Styela clava: one gene and its partner. The protein of the gene in region 2 interacts with the protein of the main gene of each other region in a biochemical or structural test. Links are inferred from orthologs where the notes say so. Each region holds a gene or a part of one and is shown on either strand. Other genes may lie near its edges.

What was found.
Region 1: the proteins of elongation factor-like GTPase 1 (region 2) and ribosome maturation protein SBDS-like interact in a biophysical measurement, tested with the Homo sapiens proteins (2 studies listed by BioGRID and IntAct, with this or other methods). The link is inferred for Styela clava from reciprocal best matches to the Homo sapiens genes EFL1 and SBDS.

What each region holds. Positions count from the first base shown.
Region 1 is NC_135262.1:15,398,519-15,410,772, forward strand, and holds ribosome maturation protein SBDS-like, read right to left. Parts: upstream 3,711-12,254; 5' UTR 3,654-3,710; coding exon 2,895-3,653; 3' UTR 2,813-2,894; downstream 1-2,812. UniProt on the Homo sapiens protein: Required for the assembly of mature ribosomes and ribosome biogenesis.
Region 2 is NC_135257.1:17,279,868-17,293,442, forward strand, and holds the start of elongation factor-like GTPase 1, read right to left. Parts: upstream 4,933-13,575; 5' UTR 4,810-4,932; coding exon 4,722-4,809; intron 4,316-4,721; coding exon 4,248-4,315; intron 3,782-4,247; coding exon 3,697-3,781; intron 2,912-3,696; coding exon 2,775-2,911; intron 2,569-2,774; coding exon 2,431-2,568; intron 1,745-2,430; coding exon 1,646-1,744; intron 1,177-1,645; coding exon 1,064-1,176; intron 806-1,063; coding exon 682-805; intron 143-681; coding exon 63-142; intron 1-62. Other genes in the region: Fanconi anemia group J protein homolog, read right to left, coding at 5,828-5,997, 7,072-7,291, 8,025-8,122, 8,654-8,740, 9,798-10,486, 10,786-10,928, 11,312-11,444, 12,118-12,283 and 1 more. UniProt on the Homo sapiens protein: GTPase involved in the biogenesis of the 60S ribosomal subunit and translational activation of ribosomes.

The DNA of each region.
Region 1 (12,254 bases), on a different chromosome or scaffold from region 2:
TGAAAGTCGATGCACTTCATTTTCTTCATTTTCAACCGATATATACAGTATAGTCAAATTGGATCAATTCAGAATTTGTTGTTATGGTAACGCTTTGTCTTCTGTAGAAACTACATATTTTTAATGTAGGATGTACATCTTAAATTAATTTTTCTATTACAATATGGGTCTGCCTTTTAGGGTTGGGTAATTCTGATATTTCAAAATATCAAAAATATGGAACAAAAGGAAACTATTCTATGTCGACTTCCAGGGGTGAGAAAAAACTTGTTGCAGTGTGTTTTTTCCCCGAAAAATAATAATCATATTATGTGTATTTCTGCTACCTAGATATTTTACAATGCTAAATTAGTATAGATGCTGTGGAATCGAGCATTTTCAAGGAATTTCCATCTCAATTTATATTATCTGAAATATAATCAGTCAAACAATGACCAACTAAAATTTTCTATCACATATTGGCATGTCACATATTGGCAGTTTAAATAATATCTATTGTTTTGCTTGAGCTGTGCTATTGCTTTGCACTCTCCTGACCAAACTTTCACTTCTGTATTTATTAAGTGGAGAACAACATTCTATCAAACAAAAATAATTTCCCAAATACAGTAACCTCAATGACTTATACACAGTAATTCTGTAACGTACCTTTTACATTCCAACTGCAAAAGACTCAATTTCAACTTTACAATTTTCATTATGAATCAAAAAATAGAATTCGGTGCAATTTTAAGGAGTCCCCCCCTTTTTCATTCTCACAATTTATAGCAAATAATGGTAAATTAGTCACTTTGAGTTATTTAAAAAATTAGCCTAGCTCCTACGTAATTAACAAGTAGTGAGTCATAAGATGGAATTGATTTGGATATGGTAATTGATTCAGTCAAAATATTCCAATTCTTTAGTCTATTTTCCAAGTTGGTCACTTAAACAGCACTGCCTGTGATTTATATTATGATGATTCATTCTTAGTTCATAGTAATTTAAATGTAATTTATAGGTCTTATTTCTATCTGCTATGTTTCTAAATGCCAAACCTATATATAATGCTATTGCTTATGTATTTCTTAGTGAAAGAGCATCTTTATATGAATATAAGTAAGAGCAAAATTATTATACCTATTTCTATCCTGGCCTCCGAGCTAATAAAAGACTTAACAACAGTTCTAGCAAGTTTGGAGTGTTGGTTTTGTGACTCTTGCGTGATTTAAACAATTTGCAGTAAAAATAACAATATAGAATTGAAATGCAAGATTGTATTTTGTGTTTACTTTTGGTGCAGCTCTGGAACTTTAACGGAAGACTAAATATTTAACTCAATCTGCGGACTTGGAGTTAACAAAATTTATAAGTCTCAGACACTGAGAGAATTAATTCCATATATGCAAGGTTCTTTTATAAACTTTTATGAGAGCTTAGGATGAGAGCTTAGGAAACTCATTGTTTTTTGACTTCTTTTACCGCCTTAGAATTCTGAAATTTCAACTCTACAATCATAACTTGAATTAGAATTACTATTGAGGTTCAATTAAACAAATTCTGTGGTTTCAACCTTCATGATTAAACATTCTCATTCAAGTTAGATCGAGATTAACTTCCAGTTTTAAATTAAGCAGCAAATGATGCCACCATCATCCCTGAAGAAATACTGCAGAAGCTTCGTGAGACCGCAGACGCAGTCATACAGAATGACTTTGCCCAGGACGAAGATGACAAAGAGTCAACGTGGAGGATTTGAATACTTATTAACCATCTTGAACGCCATTCTTCATAACTTTCTAGCATAGTCTGGCTTTATCTAATCAGGACATATTATATCTTTATTCATCCATCCTCATGTTTTGAAACTAGCTGTTCCAGGCATAAAAGGTATTGTTAAAGCAAGTCATTCCCAAGCAAAATATTGGTTTTGAATGTGTAAAGCGATATGTGTGGCATTCTCCTTCCAACAGGAGTATAAAGTGTAATCTTAATAGTGCTTCTGGTCAGTGCTTTGAAGTCGTTTGAGTTTTGCTGTTTTTATTAACAGAGCGTGCGTAGAAATTTCTGATGATAACTAAAAAAACATTATTAACAAGAAAGCTTGCATATGCATAAACACTTCAGATTTCATGAAGCAAGAGTATAAATTTCACTCCGGAATTGTAAATCTTTGTATAACAATTGTCATTTTGTTTGAATATTTTATAGAAAATCATTGTTAATAATGTGATTGAAGTAAAAGACTGTCAAAGCTTTTGAGTCATATAACTTGTGTGTATACCAGCGCGACAAGATTAAAAGCCATTTTTCTTTGCAAATGTTAATCAATATATCATTTCTACAAGACTGCCTCAACTTACTTATTATCAATGTTCTGACATCCATCTATTTGTTATATTCCAGAATGCAATGCAATATTAAGTAGTCTAAAGCTTATAAATATCTGATTCTGAATATAACAAATCCTGAGCTTGCTTATTTTTTGTGCCATCAATCACTATTGTAAATGATCAACAAGAAACCCAAAAATATATTATTTGTATATAAGCAGAAAGAAAATGTATATTGTTCAACAATACAGGCAGTATGAAATAGTAGAACTCAAGAAGTACAACAACATGCATCCGCAAATAGGTATACTGCATTGTATTTCATGTGTTAGGACTTAGGGAGTTCCAAGACAGATGAGATTGCTTAAGGTCGGCAAGAAGCAGTATGCGACCTTGAATCAATGCCACTCTTTGTCAGTAGGCTGGTTAAAATGATTTATAACAAAGTATTGATGTAAAGTAGTTCATTTGGAATACTGGTTGCTAACTAGAATACCCAATATTCAGGTATAGGCAGATATCTCAAACACAATTGAATTGCTAGCATGCATGTTTTAGGGTACAATTCCGTACAATCAACACTCATTCTAAAACCTCTTCCACTTCTTTCATTTCCTTCAAGTTCAAAACTTCTGTGCTTCCTTTTCCCCTTGTTTCCTTACTTATCAATTCTTCAATTTGTCTATAACTACCAGGATCAATTAAACAAACGATTTCAAGTCCATCCGTGAACTCCTCGTTTTCAATAGATTTGAAAAGCGGTCTCAACTTCTCTTTGATTGATTTTGAGGTCTTACCCGGTATGTACAATTTCATTCTCATTTGTGCACGTTCGATAGAGATTTTTTCTTGTAATAATTTAATGACTTGTAAAGCTTGTTGCTTGGCGTTTCTATTCATGTTGATAGAATAATGTATGTCTTCTTTCATTGCACGCTCAATAACAGTAACTGTGTATGGACGCTTCGTTTCGGGGTTAACGCACATTTCAGAAACCATTGTTGCAATATCTCGATATTTTGATTCAAGATGGTCACTGCGTTCTTTTTCTGAAACTTGTAATTCTCCCTTTGCCAAAATTTCAACACATATTTTTGTGACATCATCTGTACCGAATGATTTCTTCAAATCCTCTTTCTTAGCAACTTGTCCTTTAGATACATTTGTGAATATCGCATCAGTTTGAAGCACTTCATCGATATCTTTCTCAGATTTGTTACGCCAAGACATTACTTTGTTCTTGTAGCAGGCAATTTCAAACCTCTTTCCACCTTTTTTCATACGCACGACTGCTACATTTGTCAACCGCACTTGGTTGACAGGAGTGAATATTAATGACATTCTCGCTATTACCCAACTAGGATATTATATTTTCATTTATTCTTAACACCTAGTCTATTTTATTTATGAAAAAATATCAAAAAGGAACGCTTGATGAATATCAGAATAAATTCACATGAATATTGGTTTAAAAAAGCAAATAGTGTTTTTGTGTTTGGGACAATTATCTTAGAACAAGGCTAACTTTAAGCTGGTGTTATGTGTTTCCAGTCATAAGCGTAACTCAGTCTCATGCATAACGGTCCCCTTTCAATTTTTCTGATGACTCGCGGTCCACTAAAGAAATGAAAGCAAATAGCAACCTGATATCTATTAAGCATTCATCATTGAATGACATTAAAACAGTTCAATGAGATAGGTGGGCCTGCTTGGCTCCCACTAGTTCTTCTACCTTGAGTTATGATTTGGATGATGCAACTCTCATCACTCTCAAATCATTTTTAACTAACCCCGAGAAAGTTTAAAATCAGATGCACAAGCCCTCCATAAACAATACGTTCTGATTTACACTACTTGCCACGTTCACCAACGTTTATTACGTAATAATGTCTTCGGTTGAGTGTGTCGTGCGTTGGAAAAACACTGTGAAAGTATGATATCAAAATTTTACTTTAAATTAAAATGCTTCTGTGCTGAAGTTAAAGTTGTCTCTTGACAACTTTAACCTCGGCACAGAAGCACTTTGATTTGAGGTGGAATTTTGATGTCATGTTTTTACAGTGTTTCTCCAAAGAACGTCACACTCTCCTGAAAACATTATTACGTAACAAACGTTGGTTAACGTGCCAAGTACGGCAAATAAGAGCGTATTGTTTATGGAAGGCGTGCGCATCTGATTGTAAGTTTTTTCTAAGTTCTGGAGGAAAAGGAAAACCACCGTCCTATTCCGATGACGCTAAGATGGTACTAAAATGCTCATTTCATTTGCAACAACTTACGAAGGTGAGGCAACTTTTTCCACGTTACTCGCCATTAAAAAAATATGTTGAAACAGAATGGACGTGGGACTCGATAGGAGAGTTGCATTATCTAAAACAGAATCCAAGGTAGAAGAACTAGTCGGAGTCAATTAGAGTGGAAGTGGTGACTCCTCTTCGGCCCATGGGCCGGGGCCACGGCCCGTCAAATTGGGCCTAGGCCCATCAGGCTATGGGCCGCGGCCCATCAAGTTGTGTAAAGGAACTATTCACTTGGCTAATACAGACAGTCCCCAAACTCATAATAGAACTATAATGTAAAAAATCTGAACAAAATTTTACCCTAACCTGGTACACATACTACAGGAGTTTATTTTTTGGTTCGAATATTGACAATTTTGTAAAAATTGAAAATTTTGGTAAGATAATTGAATTTTTTGGTAAGATAATTGAATTTTTCCTGACGGGGCCGCGGCCCATAGCTTGATGGGCCACGGCCCGTGTGGCCCAATTAGATGGGCCGTGGCCCCGGCCCATGGGTCGTAGTGGAGTCACCACCCCTGTAGGTCAATTAGGCGCATCCTTCCCATTAAACTGTTTTAATGTCATTCAATAGATGAATGCTTAATATACCGCGTTGTTATTTGCTTCCATTTCTTTAGTGGACCGCTAGTCATCAGAAAAATTGCGAGGGGACCGTTATGCATAGTTTTTCAAAAAGTTTGAGAACCACTCTTACCACTGGCAGACTGGTATAGACACAGTTATCTGAGCTCAAGGCTAACACTACAGCACTATGAGTCTATGCTGTTGTTTCTTTTTTTTTTTTTTTAATGGGATAATATATTAAAATATAACAATAAGTATATAACCATTCGAGCAATCATAAGATAAATAATCCAATATTCATTTTTTATATGTCCATTCCATCAGTGTTTGAGGTGTTGATCGCATCGGCATACAATTCATCAATTTTTAGTATATTGAGTTAGATTATGTACAATAAACGTAAAAAATTAAATATATTAGACATGTTCATTCTAATAAATACTAAATTTATACACACTAGATTTATAGTTCAAATACAATTCCTAGGTATTTCAAATTCTCTGACAAAATTTGGTGATTTTCTATTTTTTTCAATGTTGAGTCTGTAAGTGATTGCAGTTTTTATTTGTTTGATAACTAGGTGCTGATTAGGGGGATTACCTTCGAATATAACAGAATTTCTTTGTATCCATATTTTATATCTAGTGATTGAAATTAAATAAACAATAATATCTAAATCTCGTGTTGGAATGTAACAAATAGCTTAAATCCAATAAAACACAAGTTTCATAATTTTTCAAAAGTCTGGCATTATTTAATTTCCTAACAGTATTTTCCATAAAATCAAAAACATAATCAAAATATTCACAATTCATAAATAGATGGCTAACAAATTCTGGTTCTTTTCCACATAACACACACATATCATTTCCTGCTATATTTCTTATTCCAGGTTTTGTTTTTACTGGTCTAGTCACAAAGGCGTAACATTACCAGCATTGGCAATTTCTGAATAGGATGAGAATATTCCGCACGGTAATGCAGTCTCTACTGATTTATAACTCACAGTGATAGTAATGCCAGTGTACCTACAAGCATTTTGTTGCGCAATGGATGTTTTCTGACCCTTGACCCCAAATATTTTCAATGTCTAACCAGTTTCATTCAAACCTTTCCCCGAGCATCGATTTCCTTGTTTACTTTGTGGCATTGGCTAATCAGTAAGATGCAAAAAGTTTCGTAACAATGCCCCCCTCTTTTTTTCTTTTCTAGTATTTATTACTTTTTTTTTGTTTACTGTATAGTATACCCTAAATTTATCGCGTTTTATTCTTACTTAAATAACTTCTCAGTGGTTGTGTGTGGCGGTGGGTGCATGTGAGCGTGTGTGAAATACCTTAATAATTTTAAGTGAGTAAACACGTACCACTTCCTCTATGCAAAATCTTCCATCTTTTATTTTGTACGTTATAAACTTTATCTAAGGTTTCGTTTGCTCCCCTGATTTCATAATTAGTTTTTATTGATTTGTTTTTATCTGTCAAATGTATTGTTATGCTGATTATGGAGTCGAAATAAACTTATACTTATACTTCGCATCAGCTCAGACATCTTTCTAACTCATACAGATTGTTAAGCGTGGTTGTAAACATTACCTCGTTTTCGCGATTTTGAACTATATTCGTTAGTTTTCATTTGTGTTTCGGAAACTTAAAAATAAATTATATAATTCATTGATTACCCTGTCTTCCTAGGAGTTTTAATTTAATTGCAGTAATAAAAAATTAGTGTAGAAATAACTGTGATTGACTAGGCTAAAATTCGTTACCGGCATTTTTTAAAAAAAGATTGTTGTATGCGATGAATTATAATGATGGTTTGAAACACTTGACCAAATTTTACAAGCGCCAACTCGCAAAAGCACTTCTAAAATAGCCCCCAAAATTGTGCAATGGTTAAGTATTAGTTTTTCGGGGGTCGAAGGTCGGGGAAAGGTCCATTGCAAAAATATGTGAAACGAAGGCCTATTTTGAGAGTGTTTTTTTTTAGTTGACTCTTGCGAATTACTTCTCATAAATATCATTTTGATCCAAAATGTTTAAACAAATGACACAAAAAGGTACTCATTCTGGTCAAGTCTTATTCGGGGTCTTTGATTATCGGTCTGACCATATTTACGGCCTTACAAACCTTAGCATCGATCTTTGGGCATCAATTCTACACGTAGAAAATGAACATTGAAATGTCAATTGTTCACATGTTGGCAACGCTAAATGTGACAAAATTAAACAAAGCATCGATGGATATGTAGCCATTCATTTAGGATTTACTCACATATTCAAAATTTGAAATCGGATTCCGGAAAATTTTATTTCATGCCGTCGGTAGAGAGAAAAAAATGAAGTTACTTTGCTTCTGACGAGGTAAAGGCTGCCGATTTCAATCAGGATTGAAGTTTTTTTTAAATATATGCACTAGATCGTAATAAGCCGTATCTTGCCGAATTTACGCCACATAGACTATTGATAGAGATTTGGAACATCAGCTTGAGAAATGCATCACTGAAAACTTCACTCTATCAGAAGAGAATATACATATTGTCTTATTTTTCCGGGAACCAAGTGTTTACTTAGGAGGATAGGATTTACATATTTATCCCGGGGGAGAGAAAAGCCGATAAGAAGGCTTATCCATATGGCGAATCACGGCCTCCGGTTACCATTCCAAGTCGGGTATGGGATTAGTTATATTGGTTGCTTAACAGGAATTTTATTTGATATGAATATTCCAGCGGTATTCCATCAAGATCCATTTTCAGTTTTACAGCTCGAAATGTAATTTTGGTGAATCAACCCGTGACATATGTTACTATTCCATTTATAATTTAATCAAATGGAGTATGGAGTCAAAATTTAAGTATTAACGATCGTTTTCCGATTTTTTTAAAACATTATTCAGGATAGAAGTCTAAAGTCTCGTTTATATTTTCTAAAGCATTGGCGTTCCTCGTTACGGACAAAATAATTGCAATGACGTTTTATGGGATTATATTCATGGTATATCAAGATATGGTTAGTTAGAAGAAGCGGTGCCTTTCCCATGACTATGTTATTTTTCTTGCTGCTACGATTTGATAGTGCTCGATGTATAAAGTTGAAAATGTGGATAGCAGCAAAAAAATGAGGTGCGATCCTTATAGAATAACAAAATATAGTTTTTCAATTAGCATGTTGAAAGATAAAGTACAGCATTGTTCCACCCATCACCGATTTCGACGAGTTTGTTCCTTTCTCGCAGAATGTCATTTAGTGTTCGAGTACGATGGCGTCCAAATGTCCAAACGTATCGCTCGCCTATGTTAACAATCGAGTAATAAAAAAAATTACAAAATTTATCGCTATTTTATATATATATATCGCTTTTCGACAGAGGAAGAAATATTAAATCCTTTAATTTAACGAATGTTTGTTATTCGGATTGTAGGACATCTCACCTCTTGCTCCACATTGTAATGAAATGAGGTAATTGCTATAATCGGATAAGTAAACGGCTTCCATATGTGTTGTTCCTGAAAAGCAATTTTTGTTGCAATATTGAAGAACGAGAGTTTAAAAAAACACGGATTCAAACAGTCTCAAAGATATATATAAATCCCATTTTGGGACAAATTAAAATAATGGGCATATGCAATTGTTCTCCCCCATATAGGACAATTTGAAATAATAGGTACCGGTATATGCAATTGTCCTCTCCATACATGAAAACTTCGTCTACTAACCGTTATTACTTTTCGACATATTTCGACAAAAATTCATTCTTAGTTCTTCCAAAAATGAGCGCTCTTGCTTCGTAATTTCTGGAATGAACAAATGAATTAAAAATATAGTTATAAATATTATCCAATTTGAAATCAACGATACCAGATCAAACATTCACATCTATCATGAATGAATCTAAAACATATGAACAAAACTTGCACTGAAAACTCACTGTGAAATTCAATATGACTTACCTGTCTGTGATTTGTGCTTGGTTAAACGAGTGAATATATGATAACAAATCGTTCGTAATTTAAAAGTAAGTCTAATCAGTGAGAATGAAAAAATAGCTCACTTACTTGCGAAATACCAAACCTTGTAAGGCCCTTTATTATCTTTTATTGATATTGTTAGAGAATAAATAATGCCTCCTCTAGAATATAAAACAAAATAATTACGCGATATAAATTTTACTCAGGATACCAGTATCTCGAGTTCAATAGATTAGATGAGCAGAGACCACATGATTTCATATACCTTGGATTTGACGGCGTCATCCACATATCGAATCCATATAATTGATAACTAATATCGTCTATTATATCGCAGTGTGGTTTTTCTCCATCGTTCGCCATGTGTTCATACCATTTCCCTGTCATCTAAATTTTGCATGATACTTCAATAAAGAAATGTTATTGATAGAGTATTTATATCGCAATATTATATATAATTAATAATCTTTTCATACTTTTATGATATCTTGGTGAGACGAGAAAGTGAATTGAAAAAAACACAAACTTTGTAATAAGAAATACGTAGATAACCCACTTTATTTCATTAAGCAAAACCAGTTTCTCGCTCAACGAACCGCTCTGAATCATTGCTGTCTAAAAACTGGTGAATCAAATATATAAGAAATAGAGAGCGGCCTACTCACTTTCGTCCAATCTATATAAGGCTGTTCTGGTAATTTGCAATTTCGGTCTGGTATCGCAATAACATATTTAATCCTGCGTGCTAAGAAAAAGTTGAACAATAACGTGAAGTGAAAGATTCGTGGTATCATCATCATCTTCTCACCAAGCTGATAACAACGAGCTAATGTTTTTTCGATTAAGAGTATATTTTCATTCATGAAGCTATTGATCCATACGGAAATTAAACTTCTTCCGGTTGTTGACGCAAAAATGATCATGGGATAATTAAAGAGAAATTATAAGTATATGCGGACATAAATGAATAACTCAGCTGTACGGTAAACTCGAAAGAATACTAAATACCAATTCTATAGAACTAGCAAAAAATGAAACAAGACATGACGATTATCTGGTATTGGCATTTTGCTACTAAAGTTAGATCAGTGACACCCATTTGTCATACTAAAGATATTATTACTCTATTGAATCATAATGTATACGCTTCATTACTTAACATTATATGAAAAGTTTGCCCAAAAAAATGCAAACACGCCATTGTTTGGACGACCACAAACGTAGGAGCTATATGACAGAATCTCTGCCAAGATTTTGCGGTTAGGTTTTAACAGAAGGAGATATGTAACTTCTGAACCAGCGATGTCCAACCCACAACGGGAAGCAGCATTGAATAGCAGGCAACCATTTAAACATAAATATAAATATACATAGCATAGAGTTCATGCTTCCGAAAACAAATACCTAACTAATCCCATACCCGACATGAAATGGTAACCGGACGAGAGGCCGTGGTTCACCATATGTTAAGTCGTGTTATCGGCTTTCCTCCCTGATAGTAATTTAAGTTTATATTAATGTAATGCTCATTTAATTATAAACTCTTTTATAAACTTTAATCAAGACTTGACAAATTCCTTGAGCCCGATATTCATTTTTTTTTTGGTTTGTTTGCAATTTCATAATTTTGTCAGTTTGTTGCGCAAAGAGAGCTGAGAATATGATAATATAGGCTACATATATATAACATATGATTATATATTATACGCTTTGGTCAGGACAAGCCCACTAGAAGTACTTGTGGTACTGAACTACACTAGACCTAGACCTCAATTATTATCGGGACAAATTACAGACAAGAACATTAATTGATATGTACAATGGGTCGAAAGACTTATTCACTAAACAAATTTATAAGATTTTGCAAAGTAAGAAAAATAGGACATCTAATACAGCGTTTCGCAAATTGTGTTCCGCGGAACACTAGTCTTCCTAGTGTTAAATCAAAAATACGTCTAAATGGGTCGCCATGGCGATCGTGAAATTGTTGCCCAACTGATCGTTCAATATCGCATCACTGTCGGCCTAAAGCAGACTAACTATAAAGTAAGGTGGTGGCATTTTCGCTAACCGTCGGCCAAGCTTTTCGACTGTTAAGTTTGTTATCAAGTTTGCAGCAATCCTTTTAGTTTTGCTATAGGCAAACAAGTAGGGCTAAAGAATAAAGGCAAATCTTCCGCCATCTCTGCCTGGTTTTACTTTGAAATGCTGAAAAAATTACTCACGTTCGCTAAACTCGATTCAGCAGATAAATAAACTGCAGCTCGCAAAGTTGCAGCATGTATTTCTATCTCCATTAGACGTAACATTAGAGACAAACACTACGTAATGGAAAGTAAACGACATAGAAAGGTCAAATAAATTTGTTGATTCATATACACAGCATTCAAATTAAGAAACAATAAAACATTAATAATAAATACAATATTTAAAATATTCAATCATATTTTAGGTATTTAACACAATTCTGTTAGTTTTCGTGGCGCATTTGGCAACTCGCCAGACGAACCCATTGGTTACATTACATTACACCGTTTTCCTTTATCAATTTTACTTTTTCATTTTTTGGTGTTCCGGGGTTGAAAAAGTTTCGGAAACGCTGATCTAATACATAAGTCAATCATGATGTAAGTTTCTATGCAACGCCAAGTATACTTAATATCCTGTGAAAGCTATTGCAATTTCAAAATTTGTACATCAGATGTATGAGACATAGGCGGCGAAAAGGAAAAAAACAATATAAAAGCTTGGTATTTCCTCATTCTCTGTCTAATTTATGTATTCTTGTTGCATTTTTCATGCTAAATTTAATAAAACGATCAACTGCAAATTATATATGAATACAAGAGAGCTATGCTCAAATATATTGACACGTCACAAGGTGTCGCTATTTTTTATTCAGACACATGAAAAACGAATCTTTGAAGTCTACAGAAATTTTTGAAAAAGGTAAAAGTAATAGCATTCTAGCAAGAAATCAAACTTCCATCATCGGAAATTTCAAAGCAATTGGTCCAGTATTCGAAGAGAAATACGATTTCATCATGACGAAGGAGAAGAATAATGAGAACAACAAAATGATATTGAAACGATCATTATGTACAC
Region 2 (13,575 bases):
ATGAATATTTTCCATTACGCATAATATATAATCCAGATCAAGTAATAACATTTTTTACCAACCTCCTCACAAGCACAGTGTCATATAATGACCAGATATTTTCCAACACAAATTGTGCAAACAAACATTTCTTTCCTTTTGCCTACAAAGTAAAATAATATTTATCAAACTTTCACACAGAGAGTTCACATTGGGGAGTTGATATAGATTTACCCTATATACATCCAAAACAAAAAAAACAAGAGGAGAACCCAAAAAAGATACAAAACTTGAAGTAAAGTTTCAAATGTGGAAAGCACTCGTTTCTCACTAACATACAAAATATAACAACAGTACATCGCACATAAATAGATGCATAAAAACACAAACCATCTAATGAGACTTTAAGCTTGTGATAATACAAAAAAAAAATAAAATGATAAAAGAGACATATATTAGCCAGGGCTTTCTAAGTCTTACATTATCATCAAAATCTAATTAAAATATCAAACAAAATGTTTATACATCCTACGCCAAACCTAAACACACAGCCAAATGAAAACAAATTCAAAAGGTAAAAAGATTTTCAAGTTGGTGTGCTGGTGTATTTTAGGTTTTACCTGTAATATACTTGATGGATATTTGGAATGCTAACTCAATTTGATATTATCCAAAAGTTTTGAAATCTTATTTATAACATACTTGAGCTCCCTTGAATATCTTTTTGGCCTTTACATTTGCATAGTAGTCGCCCCACAATGTTTTCAACAAAACGTTTTCTTGAATGCCAAGCTTCTTTGCATAAAGTTTAGAAAAGTGGTCGATTCTATGAAAGAATAATTAATTTGTCAATCACATTGCTTTGCAAACCGAGAAAACATGTATGTACAATTCTATCTATATGATTACCATTATTTAATGTGACAAAAAAGTTAATTTGCCTTGTCTTCAAAAGTTTCGAATTTTATTGTTTAACTATTACTTAATAGAACTGAAATAAGCTGATACCAAGTAAGAAAATAATTTTCTCGTCTCCAAGAAGTTTCGCGAAAAAAAAGAATAAAAAAATAGATAGAAAACTTACGTGAATCCCCATCCATCTGTTGCACTTGCAAAAACAACATTTCCAGCATTCGGAGAAAAATAAAGATGAGAATCATCCGTCAACTCTAGACCAGCACTCCAGTCATAAACGATCTGATATTTTATAAAAGAAACTGAATAAATACCGTACAAGACACGCCAAAATTAAGATTCATGGTATGGCATGAATAATGCAAGCGACTATGATTGCAAAAGAGCAATGCTGGAATATATCAACATGAACGTCGTGCATCGGTACTTGAGAAATAAAACCCTTTCATTCATATAAAACAGCATTTTAGTGAAATCCTGTAGGACTTCCACTAGCGGCTTTTACCATTTATTAATTGTAGAGAAAAGTGATTTTTCCATAACATTTGCACTCAACCGAACAAGAAGAACAACAACAATGAATTTAGCAAAATGAATAATACAAAGTAATCAGTAAAGTTGTAATGTACAGAAAGATTCCCATTACGTGGTCCCCTAACATATCATAATGTGTTTATCCCCTTCGACTGTTTGTCCTGCAGCAATAATGCAAAAGATGTCATTAAAACTTGAAAATAATGAAGTTACTCACATCAGATCCTGTTTCAACTTCAGCCTCATTAGAAGTTGTATTCTTATTTGACTTTTCAAGAACTTCAGCAGAAAATAAACTTCCTGTGACGGCATTGACCTAGTAAGAGCAAAAATAAACTTAACACATGAAAAGATAATGCAAAGCAATTTTTAACCAAAGCTTTAACATACAGCACTCTGATGGTGAAAAATGACAGTTTGATTTGATGTTTGATGATTATTTGGCAAAATACACTATTTATTCAATTTATATGACGGCTTGAAACACATGTTCAATCTTTACTAATTTTTTTGTATTTTCACTTCTACAAATGAATGACGGATAAAGGCTTAGGAATAGGAAATCCCAGTGTAGATGTGTGGATGCAGATGATTAAAATTGATTGCAGCAATGCTAATTTTTCATCCGTAACCAACAAACAAGAAGTCTTCCCATTAGTAAAAGCTGAATTACATTTATCACACAACAAAAGGCGTTTCAGTCCCAAAAAGGTTTCAATCTGCTGTTTTCAACAAATAAATTTTATTATTCATTGGAATGAAACGAAAGTGACCCCCTAAGCAAGTAAATTTACCACAATTTAGGAACCCATGGTTTGAAGGGCCTTATATAAAAAGCTCTTATCATCACATGTTGAAAAAAAGAAAGAAATGTGCTTAAAAAAGAAGTTACAATGGATGACCCTGATTACATAATAATTTATATATGCATAAGAGGATCTTATTCAGGCAAGCATGTATACTCGGGAGTATTATAATTTTGTCATTCAATAGAATAAAAACCTTCTCTAATATCTGTTGCAAATGCATTGCGGCTTCTTGTGGAGTGAGTTTTAATTCTGTTATTAATCTGTCCATCTTGTTGAAAATTAACATTGGTTTCAGACGTTCCAACCAGGCCTGCCGAAGTACAGCTTGAGTCTAAAATTAAAACAAATATAATATAAGAAGATATTATGATTATACTTTGTTTCCTCAAGTGGCAGTTAATGAGAAATAACCTAGTCTACTATCACTATTAGTAATGCTAGGCCAATGTCATATTTGCAGCAGTCAAACGTGTCGGTAAAATTCGCTTGTTTTGAATCAGAGTTTTGTATATTGTGACGGCCAGCAATGAAACTCACTTGTGGGCAAACCCCTTCGACAACATCAATAACAACAATGGCGCCATCACATAATCGAACTGCCGTTGAAACTTCACTCGAGAAATCAACATGTCCTGGTGAATCAATCAAGTTGATCAAATATTCATTTGCATCTCCTTGAAAAGAAAAAACAGTAGATCATATGCAAATTGTTTTTACATGGCACTTTTAATAATAACGTCTTTCACTTCCCAATTTAATAAACTCTGAGTGAGAAGGTGGGCGAGAATGAACCTAAGATCTGTAACTCAAAAAAGGCTGCAATGGCAGTATAGATGAGTCCATAGAGCTGTGCTAAAAAAGAATATTATTTCAGCTGTATGGCAGTGAAGTAGATTTCCAATATAGCTTTTCACTCTAACAATAGCCAATTATACCCACCTGGGGTTTATAACATATTTATACAGAATAACCACATGCAAACTGGGCCTTCTAAATGCATCATATAGTTAGAAGTTTATTATTCAGGTTTTGCTAAAACACTATTGAACAGTGTTGGGACGGCTCCGGTTATTTACTCGTCTCAAAGATTCAAAATGATCCGAGTCATCTAGGTGATGAATTCGCCAACAACTACTCGCTAGCTAGACTTAACTCAGTGATTGAAGAAACTTCGGGACTTGGACTAGGCTTGAATAATCGGCGGACTTGGCTTGCGACTCTGGATTTTAGGACCCCTGCTCAACAGGGCAAATTTTCTAATAAAATTTAAGATAGGGAAAACTAGATAGAGCAAAATATTGACAACAAAATTAAATTTAAAAGTTGTAAAAGAGCAACTTAACCAAAAATACTTCTGAGTTGTTGTAGATCAATTTTGATCATTTCACTTAGTTCAGATAATCACACAATATCATCGCACTGAAGGATGGATACTTTAAAGAAAAAAAAATTGTCATACCAGACTTGAAATATAATGAAATTGCACTCGATTTCATTGTTATTCCTCTAATTTGTTCATCTTCTCTGCTGTCCATGTATCTCAACTGTAAAATAATAAAAGGCAAATAAATAAAATAAATTTATATCACAAACGCTATTCGTACCAGAAATATGGAGGAATATTCACACCGATTTGATTTAACTTGAGACACCAGACCTTGGTTAAAAGGAATTTTTGCAAGACTTCAGCTCCGATCTTTCCAAGAATTAAAATTTTGATAACAAAAACTTTAATGTATAACCTTTTTAATTGTCTGTTAAGAATGCTTAGTCAACTCGTTAGAAATTATTTCTGAAATATTCATTCCAACTCCTTACAATTTAAACTACGACCCCTTCTCAAACTACAATATCTATAAAAAACATGCCGAACCCAAGTCCCCATAGATTGGTACAATAAAGTGCACCAAAATTAAATGAAATAAAAATCTGTATTGGAAAAACATGGAGCTTTGGTAATTCTTGAAAATTGATGAATATTACTAAAACACAAACATTAATCCTTCTTACTTTTCCCGCCAATCGTTGAGATATAATTCCATTGCTTGCTATAAGAGAATCAGCCAAAGTAGTCTTTCCTACAAAGACGGGTAAAATTTAGACAAATTAAAGATACAGAGCATAAGGATTAATGATTCATTTTACAGAGATTACAATCAATCTATTTTAAGAGTCACAAAATTTACATTCCATGACTTGAGTAGTTCCAGCTTGAAAAATAACTGACGAAAGTTTCAATAAGCAGATTTTCGAAGCATTCTAATTCATGGACTTACCTTCTGTTACCATGACAGAGTTAACATTAAATGCTCAAAACCTTTTTTTTACAGCTATGCCTGAAGGTTAATTTTATATTATCTCTTAAGCACCAAAATTTCATCTCAAGGAAAAATCTTGAAATTCAGTGTTTATCAATACTTGAACTTGGCCACCCATGTGGAGGACCGGTAACTAAATAGCAAACAAATTATTCTAATAGCTTACCATGATCAACGTGTGCCAATATACAAATATTCCGAATGTTCTTGGGATTCTTCTGCAGCACATTTATCAGGCTCACCCTCTCCGCCATTATTTGAAACTATACGCCCTAAACAGTCTCTACCAAATGGTTTACATTTACTGTAAATAATTATTTTTTTCTTACTTGAAAATTGATGGATTAGTCATACAAATACGTAAATCCTACCATATGACTGTATGCTTAAGCCTCAACAACACTGCTCATATTGCAACGCGAAACGAGGAGCAATAGATGATTTCTCGACCTTTGACCCTATGCTTTACGCTTACACAGTACGTTACGTACCCTCCTGGACTTTAAAAGTGTCTTAGCTATTGGGATATATAACCTCAATGGCCTTAGCGAGTTGGGTCTTGCACTTTACCACAAAGGTTTAGCTATCCTCTGTGTCGTTACAAAGCACTACGGTATTCTAAATCGAAATTTTCAATTACTTGTCAATAAAAGAAATACAGCTAATTTCAAACTGGCCTCTTCCTGCCTTCTGCAACAGTTTTTATTTATTAAATTAGGACACATAACTAAAACTTCACAAACAGTACCGGTAACCGTAACTATGAAAAATAAGTCAGTGTTCATGACCATGCTTGGAAATATGTCAGAACAAAGCAACTGTTACGCGGGTTTGTTGTCGTGGATTGTACGCTGTTGCGGAAATAGGAGAGCAATGCTCAAATATATGAACAAGGCCAAACCATTTTTTTCTGTCCATGTAGTGGCTAATTTACTCACATTTATTTGGAACTAATAACTTTCGTACTTGCTGTGGGCGCGAGCTAAAATTTTCAATCGATTGCCCTTAACAACGTGAAAACTCCGGTCCTCCCAAGCACAGAAATTCTAAACTAAATGATTGCTTATACAAAATCTGCTTTGGGTCAAAAACTCAATTACGGTAAGAGAATTCAAAATAAAATAAGAGCTTACAAACACCGCCACAATTCCCTTTCATTCAGCTTTGCACTGAACTCATTTATTAAAAATTAGGCTTTAATACAGAAATAGAAAGTGCATACATGAAATTGGCAAGTAGAAACGAAAACGTAGAAATAAATATTAGAAATAATCAGTCATCAATCCTTTCCACCAGTTGACATATGAAAAAATATTTATCTTTTAACTGTTGTTCTGAAACTATCTGAAATGCAACCGGTTTCATACAACACTGACATCGATATATTTGATAGCACCTATGATCTTCTTCGCACCAGATTGAATTTAATTCAATGCTTGAATCTGAAGAAAAACAGGGATTCCGATTTAAATCTCAATAACTGGAGTCACATTTAATCAGTCATTACTATTTACACAATTATTTTGTATACAAATGTTAGCCCTGATGGGTAGGAAAAACCATCCCAGAATACTTGCAACGATACAACTTATAGATGTTTCAGCGCTTACATCATCTTATCATCCGGCCCGCGACGCTTCACTGAATCATAGTAAACAAATGGTTTAATAGCGCAAAAAATATTCGAATGGTCAGTCTTCGCGCGCTGCTTAAAATTTAACTTCTGATCTGTGTGATAAAATGTGATTCATCGGTCATCCATTCGATTTTTAACATTCTAAAAATATGTGCGGCCCGCCAATGACTTGCAACCTTTGATTTTGGCCCGCGAGCGACAAAAGGTTGCTGACCCCTGGCTAACATCATCAGTGTTGGTACGGCGGTGTGGCTCAACGGGCTAAGCGTTAGGAATACGCTCGCCACCGCACCTCTAAAGGTTGCTGACCCCTGGCTAACATCATCAGTGGTGGTACGGCGGTGTGGCTCAACGGGCTAAGCGTTAGGAATACGCTCGCCACCGCACCTCTAATTACTCTGCGTGGGTTCGCAGGTTCGAATCCCATGCAGGGATGGTTATGTGCGAGAGGATTGCTGGACTCCTCGCCGTCGTTGGGTGGTTCACGTAACCGCTGGTCGGTTACGGCTTCCTCCACCACCAAGTCCATACTTCCGAAAACAAACAATACAGTAAAAACTAATCCAATACCCGACTTGGAATGGTAACCGGACGAGAGGCCGTGGTTCGCCATATGGATAAGCCGTCCTATCGGCTTTCCTCTCCCCCGGGATAAATATGTAAATCCTATCCTATCCTATCCTATGTTACAAATGCGTTTTTTTATCACCAGTAGTCTAAGCTCGCTCCATGAGCCTTATTTTCCATACCATGTCTCCCATTAGTAACTATCAATTTCATAAAAGCAATTTTAATTATTTAATCATTTATGGTCACTGATAACAAGGCTGAGTATAGTTTCGCCTAATAAGGCCGTCAAAAATACAATATAAATTCTTACCATCTCTACTATTTTCTGTGATCAATGTGATGAATTCAAAATCCATATGCTTTGATTCTACTGAATACACATCACACATGATCGATTTTTGTTCGAGAAAATTCTCGTTAATAAATGATGATTGCAGCCTCTCACATGCAATAGTTTGTTGAATATGTTCATAAAGTATTACTGTACATGTTTTGCATTTGAGAACGGACTTCTTTTCTGAAATGTGTGTCTGAAATGAATAGATATGAAATTTGAAGTAGAAACAAGAGCGCAATGAACAATTACATGAATACAAGGATAGTACATCAAAAGTATTTGTTAACACTTGTGAGCTAATTTGACCAAATAGGCTTGTGATACGATACGCTTATGATCAGCGTGAAAGATGATGCAACGGCACAATTTTATTAAATTACAAAACACTGGGCCTCTGGAAAATGTGTTATAGGGTATAGCCTTCTGAAAGACACCTCCATATAAAGGTACTAAATATTTGAATGCAAATGGTAAGTCAATTGAAGAAAATTGATTACATTGTCCCAACAAAAAATCTTAGTCAAAATCCTGATAAAAACATTACTTCGTGCAGATATAAAACGAACAATAGGATTTAGATAAGGAGTATCCTGATTCAGTTACACCAATATTATATAAACTAAACGACGCCCCAGAAGTATGTGTACCAATATGGAGGTAACTAATTTTGTTCGCCCACTTTACATCAAGATGTGTAAAGGGACTGAAACCTATAGGCATGGGATATATTCACTTGGCTAACACAGACAGCCCTCGAACTTGTAATAGAACTAAAATAGGGAAAATAGGAAAAAAATTATGGACTAATCCTAACCTGGTACACATACTACAGGAGTGCTGACTAAACATCTGAAACTGATTGATTACTTTGTATAATAACTTAGAATATTGTAGGAATAAATATGGAAGCAATATGTTCATCATACCCCTTTCTCTTTTTTCAAACACTGTTTTCTTGTAGCCCGTGATAAAAGATCACCAGAATTCTGCTCACAATTTGATGATGTATCAAAATCCTCCTTATCTAAGATAAAATAAATATGTAAATATATGAATATGCAAAATGTTGGAACGTAAAACGAAAAAGAGTATGAAAATCTGCAAACACAAAATACAGTCAATTGTGATCATTTCTAAAATTAGTGTAAGTATAAGCAAACAAAAAACAGGGAGATAAAATTCCTTGAATGTGACAAAACTAAATATAAAAACAATATAATTGCTTGATAGATTTGAATGTAATTTCATAAAAGAAAAGTGAAATTCTGACGCTCCAGGAGTGTGTGTAGCAATATGGCGGTAACTAATTTTGTTCGCCTATTTTACATCATCAACCTATGGGCAGGGGGTAGGCTATATTCATTTGACTAACACAGACAATCTCCGAACTTATAATAGAACTAAAATAAGGAAAATCGGACTTAAATTATGGCCTAAATCTAACCTGGTACATGCACTACAGGAGTACCGAGAAATCTTCTGTCTTGACTATATAATACACCCTAGGAAATTGCTAGGTGTAAAAGGACACACAACCAATTTTTAAAAATTAAACCTGTTCGCTTGGAATTAGGTGTTGAGCTTCCAGTATGGGATTGTGTCAGTTTTCTCTTTCTTGCTGACGATATTCCAGAATCAAAATCTGAAAGTAGATTATTCTCACAAATATAAATATAGATACAAAACTAAATAAGTTTTGTTTCAAACAAAATTTTCTGATTAGTCCTGGTGTCATCCAAGAAAGTAACTGATACCACAACCTATTAGGGATGGGACGAGTCCAGCATTACAGAGATTCAACAAATCCAAGTAATAGGTCAAGGACTCAACTCGAATTCTCCGAGTCCGTGAGGTCACAATGTAAAAGTAGAAAAACACGTTTTCGACCATATTACAGCATCGCGCGCTCACAAACATACGTCGTAGCTCATATTTTTTGCCTAATGGTTCCGCAGATAGCTGTTGGATCAACTTAAAAATATATTTTTATTTTTCTTGGCGACCATAATACAAACGTAAACGTGGGTCAATGTGCGCCTTGGCTGTTAACTAGATTTCCAGCCCACCACCTTGCGTCAATTCTGGGCGGCTATTCAAAAATTCTCACATGTCAATATGAAAAATAAAAAGCTTTTAACTACAATGCTTCCCCATAATTCCAGACATTTCTAGCCTTAAATTTACTATGTGGCGTGCGCAAATGGTAGAGAGATGCCACTCGTCGTCAATACAATGATTGCAATTTAGTAGTTCATGTAAAAGTTCTAAAACGCTCCATGCTTCCATTGCTCCCTTTCATAGAAAGGATTGCACGTAATAAACTCGATTTAAAAGAGGTATCGATGAGATTCCCCATTGAGTTGATCCAGAGCATGCTTCATTTTTACGCGAATCAAAAACTCAAAAATATTGCGCTAACACATATTTTATTGTGTACCAAAAATGATAGATAGTTTGAAGGCGACTGGCGCAACATCATTGTTATAAGCGATCAATAGTTTTTAACTTGTGTTATATTATCCGCCTAGCGGATTAAGCGTTACACCGTGTTGGCATTGCTGGTTACACATCACAGGTTCTAATAAGTAATAAATTGTGTAGGCAATGCTCAACTAGAGAGTTCCAGTCCTAACAAAAAAAATTGCTCTTTTTATATTGTTAAAACAAATTCAGAGTAAAGGGAGTGAATGAAAACATACCCAATGCTCGCTGAAATCCGATGTGACTTGAATCTCCATTGGCTGACGGCGGTGATTCGGGAATTACAGTGATGTTCATTTTTTCTGGGGTGGCAGGAATTGTGCAATCGAACAAATCATCAACCATTACATCATCGTTTAAAGAATCAATTACATCCAGAGTACTTGGGATTGGAAGTGTTGTGTTTGAAAGAGCTGTGTCAGATGATGGTTTTAAAATCGTTTTTTTGGATGAATTTGACAAGTTTGTTTTGGATTCCCGTTTAACTGGAATTTGTTGGTGAAATTTTTCACAATTGTTTGTGGGTTTGATATTGGCTATAGTTTCAAGTCCTGAAATTTCATTTTCATTAATTTTGCGATTCGTTGTTCCATCTGAACCGTTATTTTCCATAATTTTTGAATAATTCATCTGAGATGGTGGTTTAGCTTTAGTTTTTTTTCTTACAGAAGTTCTATTAAACTTAACAAAACTCTCATTCTGGAAATCATCATTTGGACTTGAATCTATTTCATCGTTGTCATGATGAAGAATATTTTCTGTAGTCTTAGTCACAACTTTTTGCTTGGTAGGCTTCTTTTTCTTTTTTGTAGAAGATTTATCGATACTTCTATGCAGAGATACATCCATTGACTTAGGCTCAACTTTTTCAACTTGCAATGATTCATGAATTGAAGACAAGATGGATCTGTTTAAAATAGAATGACAATATGATATTTTCAAAAAATCACAATTTGATTTTACTTTCATACATCATGAAATAAGGGGTACTTTTTACTGCAGATAACAGTTTGAAATAAACTAAAAATATTTTGTGGGTGATCAATTATTAGTAGCCATCGCTGTGATGAACAGTGTTGGAGATTAAGTGAAGGCGAGTTGGAGTCGGGCGAGTTTAGAAACCGGTACCCAACAGTGGTAATTTGAGCAATTGAAAAATTTATTGTTGTGACGAAGATGCCATTGAACAACACTGAGTCAACATACCTTGCAGTGGAAGAAGATGTAATAGGGGGTGAACTGTTAACATTGACGGTTGGTAATGAAACATTAGAAGTACCTGACATCTGTCTCTGTACAAATGCTGTGATATTTGACATTGCATTGTCAAAAGATGTGTAAGGTATCATCTGTGAATTAACAAAAATCAATGACTTGTACCAAACTGCTGGTATACAGGGAACAAGCTAATTTCAAAAACAGAATTCTGAAGTAGAAGATTACTGCTGACAGCGGGCATGATGGCCTAGTTATTGAAGCACAGCCCTTTAGCTATGCTGGTTTGCCGAGTTGAAGATCTCAAGTTTAAATCCCACGGTCACCACATTTCCCAGGGTATCATAAATTGGGGAGGCAATGATAAAATATAGGTGGTAGGTACAGTGGTAGCTTGGTATCATAAAAAAACGTTGTAAAAAAAGATAAAAAATGGTAAAATGCCAAAGCAAGTAGTGATTATCATTTTTTCAGTATTATTAATAAATTCTTTTGATGCTGTTTCATGTCCACTTACCTTTTGCCTAACCCACTTTGACAGACCCTTGGAGTATTTTTTAGGATTTTTACAAAATCTATCATCAACAATGATGAGAGCACCCCAGTCTGTCTTGTGTCTGATACAACGACCGAGTGCTTGATTCATTGCCCTGTAATAAATGAGGCAAATTTATTCTGATCAACATCAGGTATCATGGTGTTGTCATCTTGGTATAATATTGTGAAGATCTTCGGTACACTTAGCGAATTGGCATAAATCCTGGTACAGCTGTCCAAAATATAGCAAGATGCTGAGATAAGATTTATTCAAATATCTACTTCTAATGGAGAAAAATTACACATTTATTAAACATGTTGTTAAATAAAGTAAATACAATTTTTTCTTTCCAAGATTAGAATGCCTTACCGCTAAATTCCTTACAGTATCAGCAGTTGGCGCATCAGTGGCCATTCGTAACTTGGTTCAGACATCACCTACTTTGATTTACGCGAGTGCTCATGATCTAACTTTAAGCAAATTTTCTTACAAAAAAATTTGTGCAAAAATGGACAGACAACCACCCACCTATCAATTCCAATTTACCAATTCTAAATGCTACGCAATGATCCAAATGTTGTCGACTAATATTACGAATATTCAAAAATGAGAATCTTAACGAAATGAGTTGCTATAGAGCAGCTTTTCCCCACCAAGATTCTTCTCTGACTTTTTAAAGTGAAAGCGAAATAAAGAGATGTCAAATTAACAAAGGGAGGAATATTTTGAAAAAAAGCTGAAACCATTACGATAGAGTTTCGCTACTCATTGTCTATGGAACCCACCTGAAAGCCTGTATTTCATACCACTGAGATCCAGCTAACAATCCCCGATGATTCTTGTGCATATCATTGTATTTTCTTTTCAATTCAACTTGTTTATCTTTTATACTTGGAAACGGAATACCAACTGTTATCACTGCTCTGGCATTATTGTCAGCAAAATCAAGTCCTAAAAAGGAAATTAATGAAGTTTGAATAAATCTGTATCCAGCAAATGATATATATGGAAAATATTGAACGTTTTACGAATGTTTAGATTGTTCTTCTGTTTTGACAACTCCCAACATTACTCAAAATATAATATGAGTTCTAATCAAAGCGTCACTTTCTATATTATATAATTCAGTCACAGTTGGATTAGGAGCTCTGCATGTATTATATTGTACATTTCAGAAAAAGAAGAAACTACCGGTATACTTCAGTGTCCAGGCTCACCGTCGAACAAAATTTATGATCAGTGGTTTACTATGTATAGATATAAACTAAGTAGGATTAGATAACATTTTCATAGTTGTCGGGGCAGGAGAGGAAAGCCAGTAGGAAGGTTTTACAAAAAAAATGTGAACAATAGTACTTCTAATATTTCTCAATGAAATATTTTATTTACCAGTCCTGTAAGGCTGTAGGTATGTAAGAAGAGCCGGACAGATGAAGAAAACTATTGGTCCGATAAAAATCAAAGAGGTGGCATCGACAAAACAATTTTTCATACCACGAGTGACATAATAAATTATGTAGTCTAGGCTAATGCTGACTCAAAGTTTTATGTTTAAGCTCCAATTTTTAGCTTGGATGAAACAAAGTTGGTAAAATCAAAATTTTTTCAAAATATAAAAGAAAGGAGAGATTAATTTTTGTTAATTCTGATCAAACTAAACGACTCAAACAACTATATATTCCCTTGTTCATACCTTCACTGACTTTTCCTCTACATACAGCAATCAACAGAGCACCACCAAACTGATTCTCTTCTTCCGATTTCTTCACAGCATCGTAGAATGATTGTAACAAGGAATCAAACTCATCTTTGCTGCTACTTCTCGGTTCACAAACAATCTGTTTGGTTTCTTCGATTCTTTCCCAGAGTCTAGTGGTCTGATTTAGTAAATGTTCAAATTGAAATAATCAAAATAATTCTCTACCTATCTATCAATCTAAATCAGGGGTTCCCAAGCTTTTTTCAGGACGACCCCAAAGACAACTTTCATGTGTCCAGTGCGACCCCAGGTCAATATATATATTTTTCATGAAACTTTAGAGCTTCTTTCACTGGACTTTTGAGTTTGGTCATGTGGTGGTATTAAGTAAAATAAGCCAAAACCCAACAGTGATGTCACAATAAACACCTACATTTTCAATAACAAAAGCATAGGTTGATGCCTATGGGCCTGATTTACATTAAGCCATGGTACAAACTGCTAAATTTAACATGGTTTGTCAAATCTTAGATGAGTTGTACAT